Linked DNA regions of Struthio camelus. The protein of the gene in region 2 interacts with the protein of the main gene of each other region in a pairwise test. Links are inferred from orthologs where the notes say so. Each region holds a gene or a part of one and is shown on either strand. Other genes may lie near its edges.

The links.
Region 1: the proteins of CPSF7 (region 2) and ARMC7 interact in binary tests that used the Homo sapiens proteins (3 or more experiments, as listed by UniProt). The two-hybrid records come from large-scale screens. The link is inferred for Struthio camelus from reciprocal best matches to the Homo sapiens genes CPSF7 and ARMC7.

Annotation. Positions count from the first base shown.
Region 1 is NC_090960.1:8,165,143-8,172,255, reverse strand, and holds ARMC7 (armadillo repeat-containing protein 7), read right to left. Parts: upstream 3,015-7,113; 5' UTR 2,893-3,014; coding exon 2,826-2,892; intron 2,732-2,825; coding exon 2,588-2,731; intron 1,304-2,587; coding exon 966-1,303; 3' UTR 438-965; downstream 1-437. UniProt on the Homo sapiens protein: As a component of the minor spliceosome, involved in the splicing of U12-type introns in pre-mRNAs.
Region 2 is NC_090946.1:4,000,279-4,007,269, forward strand, and holds the start of CPSF7 (cleavage and polyadenylation specificity factor subunit 7), read right to left. Parts: upstream 3,016-6,991; 5' UTR 2,959-3,015; intron 2,831-2,958; exon of another isoform or gene 2,797-2,830; intron 2,011-2,796; 5' UTR 1,946-2,010; coding exon 1,892-1,945; intron 1-1,891. Other genes in the region: SDHAF2 (succinate dehydrogenase assembly factor 2, mitochondrial), read left to right, coding at 3,177-3,209, 5,761-5,987.

The DNA of each region.
Region 1 (7,113 bases), on a different chromosome or scaffold from region 2:
CAGGTTTCTAGAAAGTTGCTCTGTATTAAACTAGTTAATCTCTGTAGAGTTGTTACTGGTGTTTGATTGGTGTAGATGAGTAGAAACTGCCAAAGACATTGTTTTGGTGTTTTTTAAGCTCACTCCCACATCTTGAGCTGAATGGGCATATGGGGGAGGGCAGAAAGGAGGGAAAAAAAAGTACTAAGGCTGTGAAACTTGAGCAGACACAGCGTGTCTGCTTAGGGAGCACGGCGTCCAACAGCCAAACGTTTTAAATTTTATGTATTTAGTCACCCTGGCTTTTGGGTTGCTTTTTGCGTCATTGGCTGATAATGAAAGGAGACCAAGCTGGCTTCAGTTTCTGGCCCACGTGCATTAATGAGTGTAGGTGAAGGCTGGGTTGCAAGCGCTGCAGAAAAACATTTATGTTCTTATACAAAACTGTTTACACAGCATTTAAGCTAATGTTTTATTAAGAGTAGGTTTTACAAGACAGCTGTTCTTGTGAGCCAGACTGCCATGAGCCTTATTTTTTTTTTTTAAATCTTCACCTTTTTCACCAGTGACAATGAAAGAAATAGAACTTTCCACTTCCTGTTATGTAGCACAGTTATGATCTGTTCTGTATAGTGAGGAACCAAAGGGGATGTAAGCTGCCCAATAACCTGCGCAGAAAAGGCTAATTGCTGGGAAGGGTTATTTGCGCAAGCTGGGTGCTGGCCTGCACTTGGCAGCCCGCTCTCCAACAGCCATGACCTGTTTTATTTTTTTATTTTATTTTTTTAAGTTTCATGTCTAGACTGATTCACATTGTAGCACTGTGCCTTCCTTTGTATTAATACTAAAATCCAGCGCTGGTCTGACCATCTTCCCTGTTTAAAGTTGCTCTCGGCACACTCTTGACCTGCTGAGCAGAAATTGGAAGGCTGGGATGTTAAGAGGGAAACCTCCCTCGTAAGAGCGCCAAGCTGCTCTGGGCAGTTTCAGTCCTTAGGGAGAGGAATCCCCACTGCTGTGTGTTTGCTTAGATTCCTGGCCTCTTCCACTTGGAGAGGTGTGCAGTAATCCTCAAGGAAGACAGTTGCCAGATTGCTTAGCCTTCTGCTGGCCGAGAGAGAGAAGCGAAGCATGCACTCCACCACTGGGAGAGCTGTGGTCTGCTGGCGCGACTGCGGCGTTGTCAGGTACATCAGCGTTGTGACTGCCGACATCACTGTCTCCTCATTGGAGCTGGACAGGCAGTTTATTATGGGCTCTACCCCATTCGCCTCCAAGATGTAGTCTTTGTTAGTTTTATCCAGACAGAGGTTACAAAGACCACCTGAAACACAGCAGAAGAGAACGTTCTGATGCACGCAAGACGCTCTTCTCTACTCCCTCACCTTTTTCGAAGATTTAAGTCCACTGCTACAACTAGGAACCTTTACTCTTTCTTACAGTTGAAACTACCACAATTAAATCTCTGTAATGCACATAACTTGGTACACATTTCACGTTTCCTCTCCTTATTTTTGTTTAAACAATTGTGCCAACTTCATCTTTCCTTCTTTTTATAAACTGACACAGAAAAATATTTCTCCTGAGCAATAAGAGGTAAACGTGCTAAATCTTAAAGATGTTGAGAATTACAAAATGGGATTTTAATCATCTTAAATAACCTCTTTTTTCTAACTCAGTGTCGTAATGGAAATTATTTACCTAAATGCAATTGCGCAGTGATGCCAATTTTGCTGATCCCCGTTTTCCAGTACGGAAATAAGCAGCCAGATTGGCTGTGAGATCTGGATGGAAAAGTGCTAAGTGCTCCTGCGCTAAGTTTTCTTGATTCTTCCTGGAGATTTTCCACTAGAACACTCCTTCTCCAGTATGTCATTAGAGGGCACTGTGCCTCTGGACATAACGTCTTCCACAGAATGAAAAATACCTTTATCACTTGACCCTAGACGTGGCTACAATCCAGCAGTATATGGCAGATGTTTTACAAAACCAGAGAACAGAGAGACTAATATTAGTCGAGAGGCCTACAATATTAGTACTTGAGACTTTAAGGTGCAGGCATATCCTGGTGTAGCTCAGTCAACAAACCTTAAAAACAGAGCGTATTTAACGTCTCACGGAGTCACTCCCAGTGAGGATCCGGCCCCGTTCCCTGTATGCAGGGCACGATGACTCGGTGTCAGGGACTCCTCGGAGGGCTCGCCGGATTACTCCCGACAAGCGTTCTGGCAGACTGGCTGTCAGCACTAGGGTGGAAACACTGCATCTGTGCCTTACGCAGGGCACAAATTCCCTCTCAGTGACCGTCTCCGTATAGGAGAGATTTGGGTAAGAAGTCATTCAGCCAGTGTTTTCTTCTAGCATAAAAAAACCTGCTTTACAGAAAACAATCTTTTTTTTAAGTGCTGCAACTATACTGAACTTCGGGGTGGGGTGGTGGGGGGGGGGGGAAGCTGCCGTTCGCTCCCCTCTAAACAAGGCTTTAGGGCTGCAGCCCGGTCCCTTGCAGCACCCCAAGCAGCACAAGCAGCCACATGTTGCTTGAGCTTCCGAGGGGCCGGGCCGGGCCGGGCCGAGCCGGCAGCCCTGGCCCCGCCGCCGTCCTTACCGATCGCGAACTCCACCAGGCTCTCGCTGTCCTCGGCCAGCGCGTCAAGGAACAGATCCAGCACCTGCAGCTGCCGGAGGTGCTCGTAGTTGTGGGGGTCGTAGGCGAAGTTGGCCAGGTTGGCCAGCACCTGCTCCTTGGCGTCTGCAAGGGGGGAGAAGCGGCAGGTGAAGGCGGAGCGGCGGCGCTCGGCGGTCCCGAGCGAGCTGTCCGCCGCCCGCTGCCGCCGGGGCGTCACCTGGGCTGTCGGTGGCCTGGAACTCGGTGACCAGGGCCTGCAGGTACTCCAGCCGGCCCAGCTCCATGCCGCCCGGGCGGCCGCCGCCGCCGGGAGCCCTCAGCGCGGGGAGAGCGGCGGCGGCGGCGCCCGCGCCTCAGCGCAACCGGCCGCCCGCAGCCCCGGCCCGCCGCAACATGGCCGCCGCGCCGCGCCGCGCCGCTCCCCGGGCGGGGCGAAGGGGTCGCCTCTGCCTGGCGCCACTGCAGGGACAGAGGGGCCGGAGGGGGCCGCGGGCTGGGCCGGGTTGCGCCGAGCCGCGCTGCTTCGCCGCCTGACCGGGAGGGGCGACGGGAGGGAGCGGGCGGCGGCGGCGACAGGAAGCGACGCGCCCCGCCTCCCCCCCGCCCCTGCGCGCGCCCCGGCGGCGGCGGCGGCGGCGAGCTCGGGCGCGAGGCGCGGCGGCCGTTGGCGCCCCCCCGGCGGCCGTTGGCGCCCTCCGGCGGCGGCGGCGGCGGCGGGAGCGGTGCCCGGGGCCGAGCGGCGGCTGCGGCGGCGGCGGGGGGCAGCCGCTCTGGCGGGGATCGCGCCCTCGGCGGCGGCGGCGGCTGCCGCTCGGCTCGGCTCGGCCCGGCCCGGCCCGGCCCGACGGCGGGGTGGCGGGAGCGGCTCCTGCCCTGGGCTCCGGGCGGCAGCCCGAGGGGACCGTCCTCCATGGCAGCCAGACCGGCGACGAGCCGCCGCTCGGCCCCGGCCCCGGCCCTCCCGCCCGCGACGCTCAGTCTTGGAAGCTCCTTTCTGCGTCCTGGAAGGGACCCGCGCTTCCCTCAGCTGCTCGCTGTCTGCTCCCAGACTTACGGTTTTCCGCCCTGCTCGTTTCCGTGTCCTTCCAGGTTCTCCACAGTTAGCTGTAATAAGTGCTGTTGAGTGTTAAACGCTGGACCGTTCCCCCAGGCCGTGACGATGCCGACCGGCTTCTTGGCAAGCGAGCGCAGCAAATGATGAACCAGTTAGAGCGATCCGCTTCCGACTCCATCTCAGCATCCCCCGGGGACGTGTGTCCACCACGGGCCATACGGGGAATACAGGCGGGCAAGAACACGGGGCCGACTGCTGCAGCAGGGAGAAGAGCAGGAGGAGATAAAGGTCTCGGTTCATTGCCTTATGGTAATAAGCAGCGGGAGTTGAGACGTGGCTGCAGGGTGCCATGGGGCTGGGGGTGCGATGGCAGAAGTGGGGCGTGAGAAGTGGCGCGAGGCAGGATCCGGGGCAGAGGGGCACGATGGGTGCTGCTGCGGGTGGCTCCTGGGCCGATCCCGGGCGGCCCGCGTGCCAGGCAGGTGCGGAGCACATGCTGATCCCTCTTGCAATGCAATGTGTTGAGACAACGTTCTTCACAAGCTCCCTGCGCGTCTGTGTCGCCGCTCCCAGTCTGGGGAAACGCGGAGCTGTGCTTTCCGAACGGAAGCACGTGTTGGTTTGGAACAGAAGTCACAAACGGGGACTTTTCCTCTCCAGATATTTCCTTGACCTCAAACAGATACCATCAGTTGGTATAAGCGCACTTTGAATTGTGGAGAGCGTCAGGTGACTGAAGGTTCAAAGGGACAAACTCCCCATCTTGTAGACAATGAATAAAGCATGTTGGTTTCTGAACAGACAGCTGAGTTCCCAGCTCTCCAACGTCACTGCTCGTGCCAAGCGTGCAGGGTTGGCGGAGGCGGTAATTCTTTTCCTCTGCACCTAGTTCCCTGTTTCTTGACTGAGTGTCCCAAGAGAGACTTCCTCCCCTCGGTTAAATGCATAGATCTTTTAACATTTGTTCCTTGATTGGTTTTCAGCTTAACCTAATAAGCATAGATGAATGCATTGAGATGATCTATCAGCGCACGAAACACCGGAGCTCTGTAAACAAGGGGCTAAGTGTCCTCCAGAGGGGACCATGGCCTAGGGTAAGCTTTTTGACCGCTTCTCTGTGGGCTGGACAAGCTTTTAGGAGCTCTAACACGTGCTACTGAAAGGCGCAACAGCGAGCAGCTGTTGCAAAGTGTAGAAGGGCTGGAGAACCATGAAGTTTTACAACAGCAGGGACCTCACTCCTTTTCTGTATGCTTATTGGTATTCAGAAAAAGCGTGATGTGGGAAAAGACTGTCTATGGCTTCCTGAGTTAAGAATTATTTTGCAGCCAAATGTTTTTGGGCCACTGTGTGATAAAACCTGCAGCATGCTGTGCCACACGCACCTGCCCCCCCCCAGCACCTTCTCCTCTCGCTGCCCCTCATCACTCCCATTCTGCTCGGTGCCCCGGCCCTGTCTGCTGCCCTCGGCGAGGTGCGGCTGCCCCCCCCCCCCCGGCCCAGCGACGGTATTTCTACCTGATGTGAATGTTTAGGCCTGTCCTGTGCTGGCAACTTCAGCTGTTCTACGCGGTGTCAGTTGGAGCGTGTGTGTATGTCTATGCATGTCTGCAAATGCTCAGGCAAGCGTTCAGTACTACAACCTATTGCTAGGCTAGCGTGGTTTGCTCATGTCATAGCCAATCTTTTCTAGCGGAGGCTTTTGCAAGTGCCTCAGTGTTGCCATCCTTTAAAGCCACACGTGTCATTACATACGAGGCGAATGACTGCTGTGGGCAAGCAGGAGGAGAAGAGAAAGCAAGTAGAGGGGAACTAGCTAGCGTAAAGACAAGGGCTTGAGGACTCTGGGATTGACTGGGGGGGGGGGAGTGCAAAATGGAGTTTTTCCAGAGGAAGGATGAAATGCCTTATATTCACCAGCCCTGTGGATGTGGTCAGTCAGTTCGATTTTGCACGCCTAGAAGCAGGAGGACCTCGGTCGCCCAGCGTGGTTTCAGAGAGAGAGTAGTGTTTAGAGCAGGCTTTTGTCTATGCTGGCTGAGTTTTCAGGTGAGGCATCCCTGAAAAAGGTACTCTCCAGGGCACGCTCTTTGGTGTGTGGCAAGACGTCATCGGGAGCAGAGGCGCACCTCTGGCTGTCTTTCTGAGAATGACTAGCTCTGCTCCCTGGAGCCTTTGTCTCTCTTTGAGTTTAATCACAGCTGATTAAGAGCTGGGCGGAACAGGCTGCATTTAAGTTGATGTGGTGGAGCTGCCTCCTGGAGGAGAGTTGGATCAAGTTGCCTGGCTTTGCAGTCCTCAGAGCTTTTCTGTAGGCGTTACTGCCGGGTTGCAGAGCACGCTAGTACTGTTAAGGTGGCGTGCTTCGTTATGGGCTGCGTGCTTGTTGTCTTGGTGCTGCTTCGCTGCCGAGAGTTTGTCCGGATGCTCCGAAAAGATCACTTGGCAGCTGGCAGAAGGGGCTGAGGTGAGTGTGTAATGCTCTTCCTCTGGCTGTTTGCTCAGGCACTATCGGCTATAACGCTAAATGGTCTGAATGCTTCCAGCCCCTGCTGTTTGCCGGGAGACTTAGCAGTGAATGAACTAATGAAAGTGAGGTGTTCGCAGCCTCCCGGGCCCTTCTTTCCAGGGACGGCAGCTCCCACCTGATGGCATGACAAAGCTAGAACACAGTAAGTTTTCATTTCTAGCAGTTATTTAGCCATTACTAGCAAAGTCTTCCAGCAGTGTGACAAGCTCTTCAGCTAAGCAGTTTTGTGCTCTGAGGCGCATTGCAGTGCGTAAGCTGACCAGGACTCTTCCTTGTTTTCATCACGCTTCCCTAAGACTGATGCTGGCTAAGTATCTGAGATGTATAAAGATCCCAGTCTTGAACTATTTCAGCGTGAACTTGCTGGTGAACGTTTCCTTGCGATAAGGAAAGGTGCCTGTTGCAAAAATGCTTAGCTTGTAAAGTGAAGGAGACTGCTTTTATGAGCAAAGGCAGCAGGGAGGGGTCGGTGGGGACTGGGAGAGGGATGTTTATTTCTGGGCTATTCTTCTTGCTCTGCCCGTTCTCAGAGGTTTCTAACCTGGCTGAGGTTTTGGTGTTTGTCCCTAGCAAAAGCCCATATTATTTTACTGTCTGTAAGTGTTGGGGAAAACTGCTTTAGGGGGGTGGCAGTAATTAAGGTGTGGTTGCCTTGCATAATGGGAGTACCTTAAACTATGGCAAGGAACTTTTATTCCTTTTTGTTTCCTGTGGGCCTCATGATTCTTAAGCATGGGGTGTTAATATTTCTGTGCTATAGCTCTGAGAGGGAATGCTTATTATACCGTAGCACGCTCAGTATGCACGGCCCCTTCAAAGCTGCTGCTCGAGGCGGCTTGCAATTCAGGCTAAAGACAGAGGTAGGAGAGGAGAGCTGTAGCCCAGGAGAGCAGGGAGGTAGCTTTCCCCCTTTTGGCAGCA
Region 2 (6,991 bases):
TTCCTTCTTCACGCCTTCCAGCACATGAGCCTTCTCTGCCAAGCCAGCCTGAATGCACAGGCAGGACAGGCAGCATTTGACCATCTAAGTGGAAAACCAGCAGTGTGACAGTAATTTTCCTTTTAAGCCCTCCCACCTGTTTGCTCTTCATCAGTTACCCTCCAAGACGTTCAGAGACTTTCCAGATCACACCTGCCGACGCCACATTTCTCCTTCTGCAGATGAAGATATATTATTTATTTTCCTCCAGCTCTTTCACTGTTTTCCTTTGGCATTTAAGGTAATTGTCATAAATGATGGTTGCTGGTTATTTTGCGTTTAATGTATTTCTAAATTCCAGCCCAGCAACCTCCACATGTTTCCTTTTTCCAGACCTTCCATCTTTATTCCTTCAACTGTTTAACTCTACCTTCTGCCTCCCAAGTCCAGGTATACTTTCCTGATTCTGACTGTTAAAAGCTTTTTGCAAGGCAACATGCAAATTAAGACTATTTCTAACCCAAAATAGTTCAATCCGGTCGCATTGTAGTCTTAGATTGTGTAACACATGGGGGATCTGACTTCGAAGAGTTTTGCAGAACCACCCAGGTCTGAAGGGAGAAGTATTTCAGAGCTTGAGGATACTTGTGCAGGGCAGCCTGCAGCTATAGGCAGCGCAAACACTGCGTATTTATTTTGCAACTCACTTTTGCAGTGAGATTTCCATTATTCTGGCAACGTTAGGACCAGATTTGACTTTGCCCTTCTCTAATGTAATTGCTTTCAGTGGGGAACTCCTGCTTCTTCCCAGACAGCTGAAAGCATCTCTCAGTTCTCTCTCATCTCTGAGGCAATTAACACGCTTTTCTGATGTTTCACTTTTCCCTGAATGTTTAACTTAAGGCATATTCTCTCTTGATAACCTCCCGCCTTTCAGAACAAAGGATTTATTGCCCTCGACTCCTCTTCAGCCCTCTGGGAGCTCTAGCCAACTGGCAATTCCTTCTTGTGCTTTGCTTCTAGTTCTTGCAGCTTGCCATCCAGTAAGGACCAACTTTCCTCCATGGTCTTTCCATGGCAGTTTTCAATCTTCCAAGATGTGCAGGCACACCCACTCTCCTCAGTTGTCCAGATCTCTGAACTCTCTAAAATCTGCTTCTCTAGAGGCTGCGCACACACATTCTCCACCATTTCTTTCGGCAGGTCTCTGGCAGTCTCGGCCCCCGGCACCTGAGGCAGATGACCTGCAACCAGCAGCTCTCCGACCATCTTGAGTTACCGTGCAGGTCTCCACGCAGCGCTTCCCCAGAGAGCTCACCACCCAGCATGCACATCTGCAGGCCCGCAAGGTTCAGTGCTTTCAAACTCCCTTGCTACGCAGTCCTCTCACAGATATTCGGTGCAGCTCTCTTCTAGTCTAGACGTCTTATTTCTCCAGCCACAGCAGGTCACGACTATCCACTTTGATCCCCAGTCACCAACAGCTCGGTAAATGTTTTGGTGGAAACCCTGCCTCCTTCTCAACCCTCCCAACTGCCTGAATATTTTGTAACCATCCATGTATTGAATCCCCTGCAAAACCTATAGAAACCACATTTTATTCATGGCTCAAAATCACAGCTGCCGTGATTTGATGACAGTCCCAGTCCTTAGTTTCCCAGAGGGACTCTTCAATGCTGTCCCACTGTATTCCTCCCACACAAGCCACTTCTTCTGCCTGTGCTCAATAAGTACACACACACTAACACCAACCGCTTTAAGCGTCTTGCCAGTGAGCTGGCCAACTCTGGTTAACGTGCTCTTCCCCCCAAAAAAGGGTGAGCTGCTCAAGCAGCTGCCCGCCCTCCCTCTCCCCCCCCCCACCACAGTGGTCCCAGCACGGGGCGGCGCCATGGCCTGGTGCCCCGCTCACCTGATTGAACTCTTCGTCGGCGTAGATATCAATCAGATCCACTCCCTCGGACATATTTCCAGAGACAGGACCGAGAACCCAGGAGGGGACCGGGGCGAGGCAGGAAGACCAAAGGTGCACTGCAGCGGGCGACGGAGGGGAGGGGGATCACCTTAGCGCTGGAAACCTCCTGCGCGCCCCCCCCCCCCCGCATCCCCTTGCCCCACCGCCACTACCAATAGGGTTTTAGGCTTTTTCTCCCGGCAGGCACCAGCCGCGCCGTGCCCAGGGCCAACACCAACTCCTCCTCTCCTAGAGAAGCCCGTGCCCGGGGACAGCACACCCCCTAGCCACGGGTCGCCCCTGGGGGGCCAGCTCATCCCAACCCCCTAGCCAAGATCCAGTCCCTGGGGCCAACGTCACCCCAATCCCCCAAATCAAGACCAAGCCCCGGGGGCAACATCACCCTATTTCCTTCATCCTGAGGGCAGCGTGACCCCCTCCCCCAAGCCCAGATTCGTCCCCTGGGGCCATCTCACCCCCCCCTTGTTTCAACACCGAGAGTGATAAGCACACCAGCCCCCCCACCCTACATCCCCAATAATCCCCCCCCAAAACCCCCGCTCTGGACCCATCCCCGGGAAGCGGATCGTACCCCCCCCGGTGGGGGCACCCAACGCCCGCCCCCCAGCCCGGACCCCTCTCCGCGGACAGCACCCCCCCCCCCCGGGGGAGGGAGGGGGCCACCACCTCCTCCCGGCCCCGGACTAACCCCGTCCCGGCGGACAGTGACCCGCTCCCCCGAAACACCCCCCGGGGAGCAGTCCTCAAACCGCCCCGGGACAGCGCTACCGCCCCCCGGCCCCCCGCCCCGCCCCTGCCCCAACGGCGGGGGGAGGGGAAGGAAGCGGCCGGTCGCGCCCTACCTCCCCTCCCGTCCCCGGCGGCGGCGGCGGCGGCGGCGGCGGCGGCGGCCGGGCCCCCCCCCGCCTCGGCCCTGACGCGGCCCCGCCCCGCCCCGCCCGTTACCGCGCGCGGCCCCGCCTGGCGAGCAGGCCCCAGCGCGCGCGCGCGCCGCCCGCGCTCACCACTGCCACTGCCACTGCCTCCGCCGCCGCCGCCGCCGCCGCCGCCGCCGCCGCGCCACCGCCGCCGCCCCGCCCCTTCCGGCGGCGGCCCCGCCCCTTCCGGCCCTCCCGCCCGGCCGCCCCCCCCCGTAGCTCGCGTCGACGCGCGCCGCCGGGCCATAGAGCTGGGCTGCCCCGCTTCGCAGAGCGGCTCCGCGGGGCGGCGGCGGCCAGGCGGGATGCTGAGAGCCATGGCCGTGGCCAGGGTGACGGTGACCTGGGGGTGGCCTGGGGCAGGGCTGGGCTGGGCTTGGGAGGTGAGGGGCGGTGACCTTGTGGGAGCAGCTGGGGGGCAGCTGAGAGGGATGGAGCCAGAGGGATCGAGGAGGGTCCGGGGCCAGCAGGGCCTGGGGAACCTGGGGGGGCCGTGTCTGGGCTGGGGGGGCAGCAGGGTCTGAGGAGCCGTGTCTGGGCTGGGGGGCCTGGGGGGGCCGTGTCTGGGCTGGGGGGGGGACAGCAGGGCCTGGGGGGCTGTGTCTGGGCTGAGGGGGCAGCAGGGTCTGAGGAGCCGTGTCTGGGCTGGGGGGCCTGGGGGGGCCGTGTCTGGGCTGAGGGGGGCAGCAGGGTCTGAGGAGCTGTGTCTGGGCTGGGGGGGGCAGCAGGGCCCGGGGGGCCGTGTCTGGGTTGGGGGGGGACAGCAGGGCCCGGGGGGCCGTGTCTGGGCTGGGGGGGGACAGCAGGGCCCGGGGGGCCATGTCTGGGCTGGGGGGGGGACAGCAGGGCCTGGGGGGCTGTGTCTGGGCTGAGGGGGCAGCAGGGTCTGAGGAGCCGTGTCTGGGCTGGGGGGCCTGGGGGGGCTGTGTCTGGGCTGGGGGGGGCAGCAGGGTCTGAGGAGCCGTGTCTGGGCTGGGGGGCCTGGGGGGGCCGTGTCTGGGCTGGGGGGGCAGCAGGGTCTGAGGAGCCATGTCTGGGCTGGGGGGCCTGGGGGGCCGTGTCTGGGCTGGGGGGGCAACAGGGTCTGAGGAGCCGTGTCTGGGCTGGGGGGCCTGGGGGGGCTGTGTCTGGGCTGGGGGGGCAGCAAGGTCTGAGGGGCCGTGTCTGGGCTGCGGGGGGCAGCAGGGTCTGAGGAGCTGTGTCTGGGCTGGGGGGCCTGGGGGGGGGCCTTGTCTGGGCTGGGGGGGGCAGCAGGGTCTGAGGAGCTGTGTCTGGGCTGGGGGGGGCAGCAGGGCCCGGGGGGCCGTGTCTGGGTTGGGGGGGGACAGCAGGGCCCGGGGGGCCGTGTCTGGGTTGGGGGGGGGACAGCAGGGCCCGGGGGGCCGTGTCTGGGCTGGGGGGGCAGCAGGGTCTGAGGAGCCATGTCTGGGCTGGGGGGCCTGGGGGGCTGTGTCTGGGCTGGGGGGGCAGCAGGGTCTGAGGAGCTGTGTCTGGGCTGGGGGGCCTGGGGGGGCTGTGTCTGGGCTGGGGGGGCAGCAAGGTCTGAGGAGCTGTGTCTGGGCTGGGGGGCCTGGGGGGGCCGTGTCTGGGCTGAGGGGGGCAGCAGGGTCTGAGGAGCCATGTCTGGGCTGGGGGGCCTGGGGGGGCCGTGTCTGGGCTGCGGGGGGCAGCAGGGTCTGAGGAGCTGTGTCTGGGCTGGGGGGCCTGGGGGGGGGCCTTGTCTGGGCTGGGGGGGGCAGCAGGGCCCGGGGGGCCGTGTCTGGGCTGGGGGGCGACAGCAGGGCCCGGGGGGCCGTGTCTGGGCTGGGGGGGGGACAGCAGGGCCTGGGGGGCTGTGTCTGGGCTGAGGGGGCAGCAGGGTCTGAGGAGCCGTGTCTGGGCTGGGGGGGCCTGGGGGGGCTGTGTCTGGGCTGGGGGGGGCAGCAGGGTCTGAGGAGCCGTGTCTGGGCTGGGGGGCCTGGGGGGGCCGTGTCTGGGCTGGGGGGGCAGCAGGGTCTGAGGAGCCATGTCTGGGCTGGGGGGCCTGGGGGGCTGTGTCTGGGCTGGGGGGGCAGCAGGGTCTGAGGAGCCGTGTCTGGGCTGGGGGGCCTGGGGGGGCTGTGTCTGGGCTGGGGGGGCAGCAGGGTCTGAGGAGCTGTGTCTGGGCTGGGGGGCCCGGGGGGCCGTGTCTGGGCTGCGGGGGGCAGCAGGGTCTGAGGAGCCATGTCTGGGCTGGGGGGCCTGGGGGGGCCGTGTCTGGGCTGCGGGGGGCAGCAGGGTCTGAGGAGCTGTGTCTGGGCTGGGGGGCCTGGGGGGGGGCCTTGTCTGGGCTGGGGGGGGCAGCAGGGTCTGAGGAGCTGTGTCTGGGCTGGGGGGGGGCAGCAGGGCCCGGGGGGCCGTGTCTGGGTTGGGGGGGGACAGCAGGGCCCGGGGGGCCGTGTCTGGGCTGGGGGGGGACAGCAGGGCCCGGGGGGCCGTGTCTGGGCTGGGGGGGGACAGCAGGGCCCGGGGGGCCGTGTCTGGGCTGGGGGGGCAGCAGGGCCCGGGGGGCTGTGCCTGGGTTGGGGGGGGACAGCAGGGTCTGAGGAGCTGTGTCTGGGCTGGAGGGTCTGGGGGGGCTTTGTCAGCGCTGGGGGGGGGGACAGCAGGGCCTGGGGAGCCGTGTCTGGGCTGGGGGGGGCAGCAGGGCCTGGGGAGCTGTGTCTGGGTTGGGGGGGCAGCAGGGCTTGGGGGGGCCGTGTCTGGCCTGGGGGGCCTGGGGGTGCCGTGCCTGGGCTGAGGGGGCAGCAGGTCCTGGGGGGGCCTTGTCTGGGCTGGGGAGTCTCCCTGACTCCACTGCATGAGGGCAGACAGGCCTGAAGTCTGCTGCACGTCAGGGTATGACGCTTGCGCTGTCTGTGTCCCCTCCAGCAGCTCTGCTCGCTGTCCGGACGGGTGCTCTGCCGGCCTGTTTTGGGGCACGTGTCTGTGCAGTGCGGCTATCGCGGAGACTCCCCCACGGACTCGGGGAAGGACATCCTAGAGATCCCCTTACCACCCTGGCAGGAGCGCCCCGATGAGCCGCTGGAGACCAAGCGAGCCCGACTGCTGTATGAGAGCAGGAAGAGGGGCATGCTGGAGAACTGCATTCTGCTCAGGTGAGGTGCCGGGTGCTTGTCCTCCCACCGGAGCTGCAGCACGCACGCCCTGAGCCCCGTTCCCTCCCAGCTTTTCAGCAAGCCTCTTGCAGCTTCATCTGCCTCCCCTGCGTCAGGACGTCTGGGTTGCTATGCCCTGACAGTGCTCGTTTGTCCGCTGCAGATGGGAGTAGGCAGGGATGGAGCATAGTTTGCAGAAGAGACAGTGCCAACACTAGCCACACCAGAGAGATCAGGGAGGAAGTGAGAAAGGCTGGCCAAGAGGTAGCTGCCGTATAGTTCAGCTCCCTAAAGAAGTTACAGGTTTTTAATTAACAGGGAAGAGCTGGAGGTGCACTAGTGCACAGCCATAATCTAAAACCTAATGAGATGCAACATTGCTAAGGGGATGGAAAGCAAGTATCTGAGGCTCTGCTTGTGAGCAGTCAGGTGAACCGCTGTGAGAGCATCACCTGTACAGGTCTGCGGTGCAGTGATTAGCACTGCTGCAGGGTAGGATGGGACAGAACTAGAGGCCGCCTGAGGCAGGAGATGTCTAGAGGAAGCTCCTCCTAGCGGTAGATCGAGTCAAATTCCTTTGGGAAGGATGTATGCTAGATCTGGGATATAGGAATAGGGCAGGGGAGGGGAGTGTCTCGCCTTCTGTGTCACGAGTACCAAAGGAGCAGTGTGAGATTGAAGGCAGTGATAAAAGGAATTTTTTCCCGTGCTCTCCGAGGCTGGAGGTAGCTCTTTGAGCTCAGAACCTCACAGAAAGTGAGCACCGCTGAAAGCTTCTGGGTTCCAGCAGGGGTTTAGTGAAGTTCATTAGCCAGTTCAGCAGGGCTAAGGCCTCTTGGACTGCAGGACTAAAGAAGTGGTTAATGGCTGGAGAGCAGGCTAGGACTTAAGGCAGAAGACAGGTCACCTTGGATTCAGCTCCTCTATGTCTTCTTGCAGCATTTAGAGAGCTGGGCACCAGGCAGTGTCAGGATCAGCGTGCCAGCCCGGCTCTTCCTGCAGTC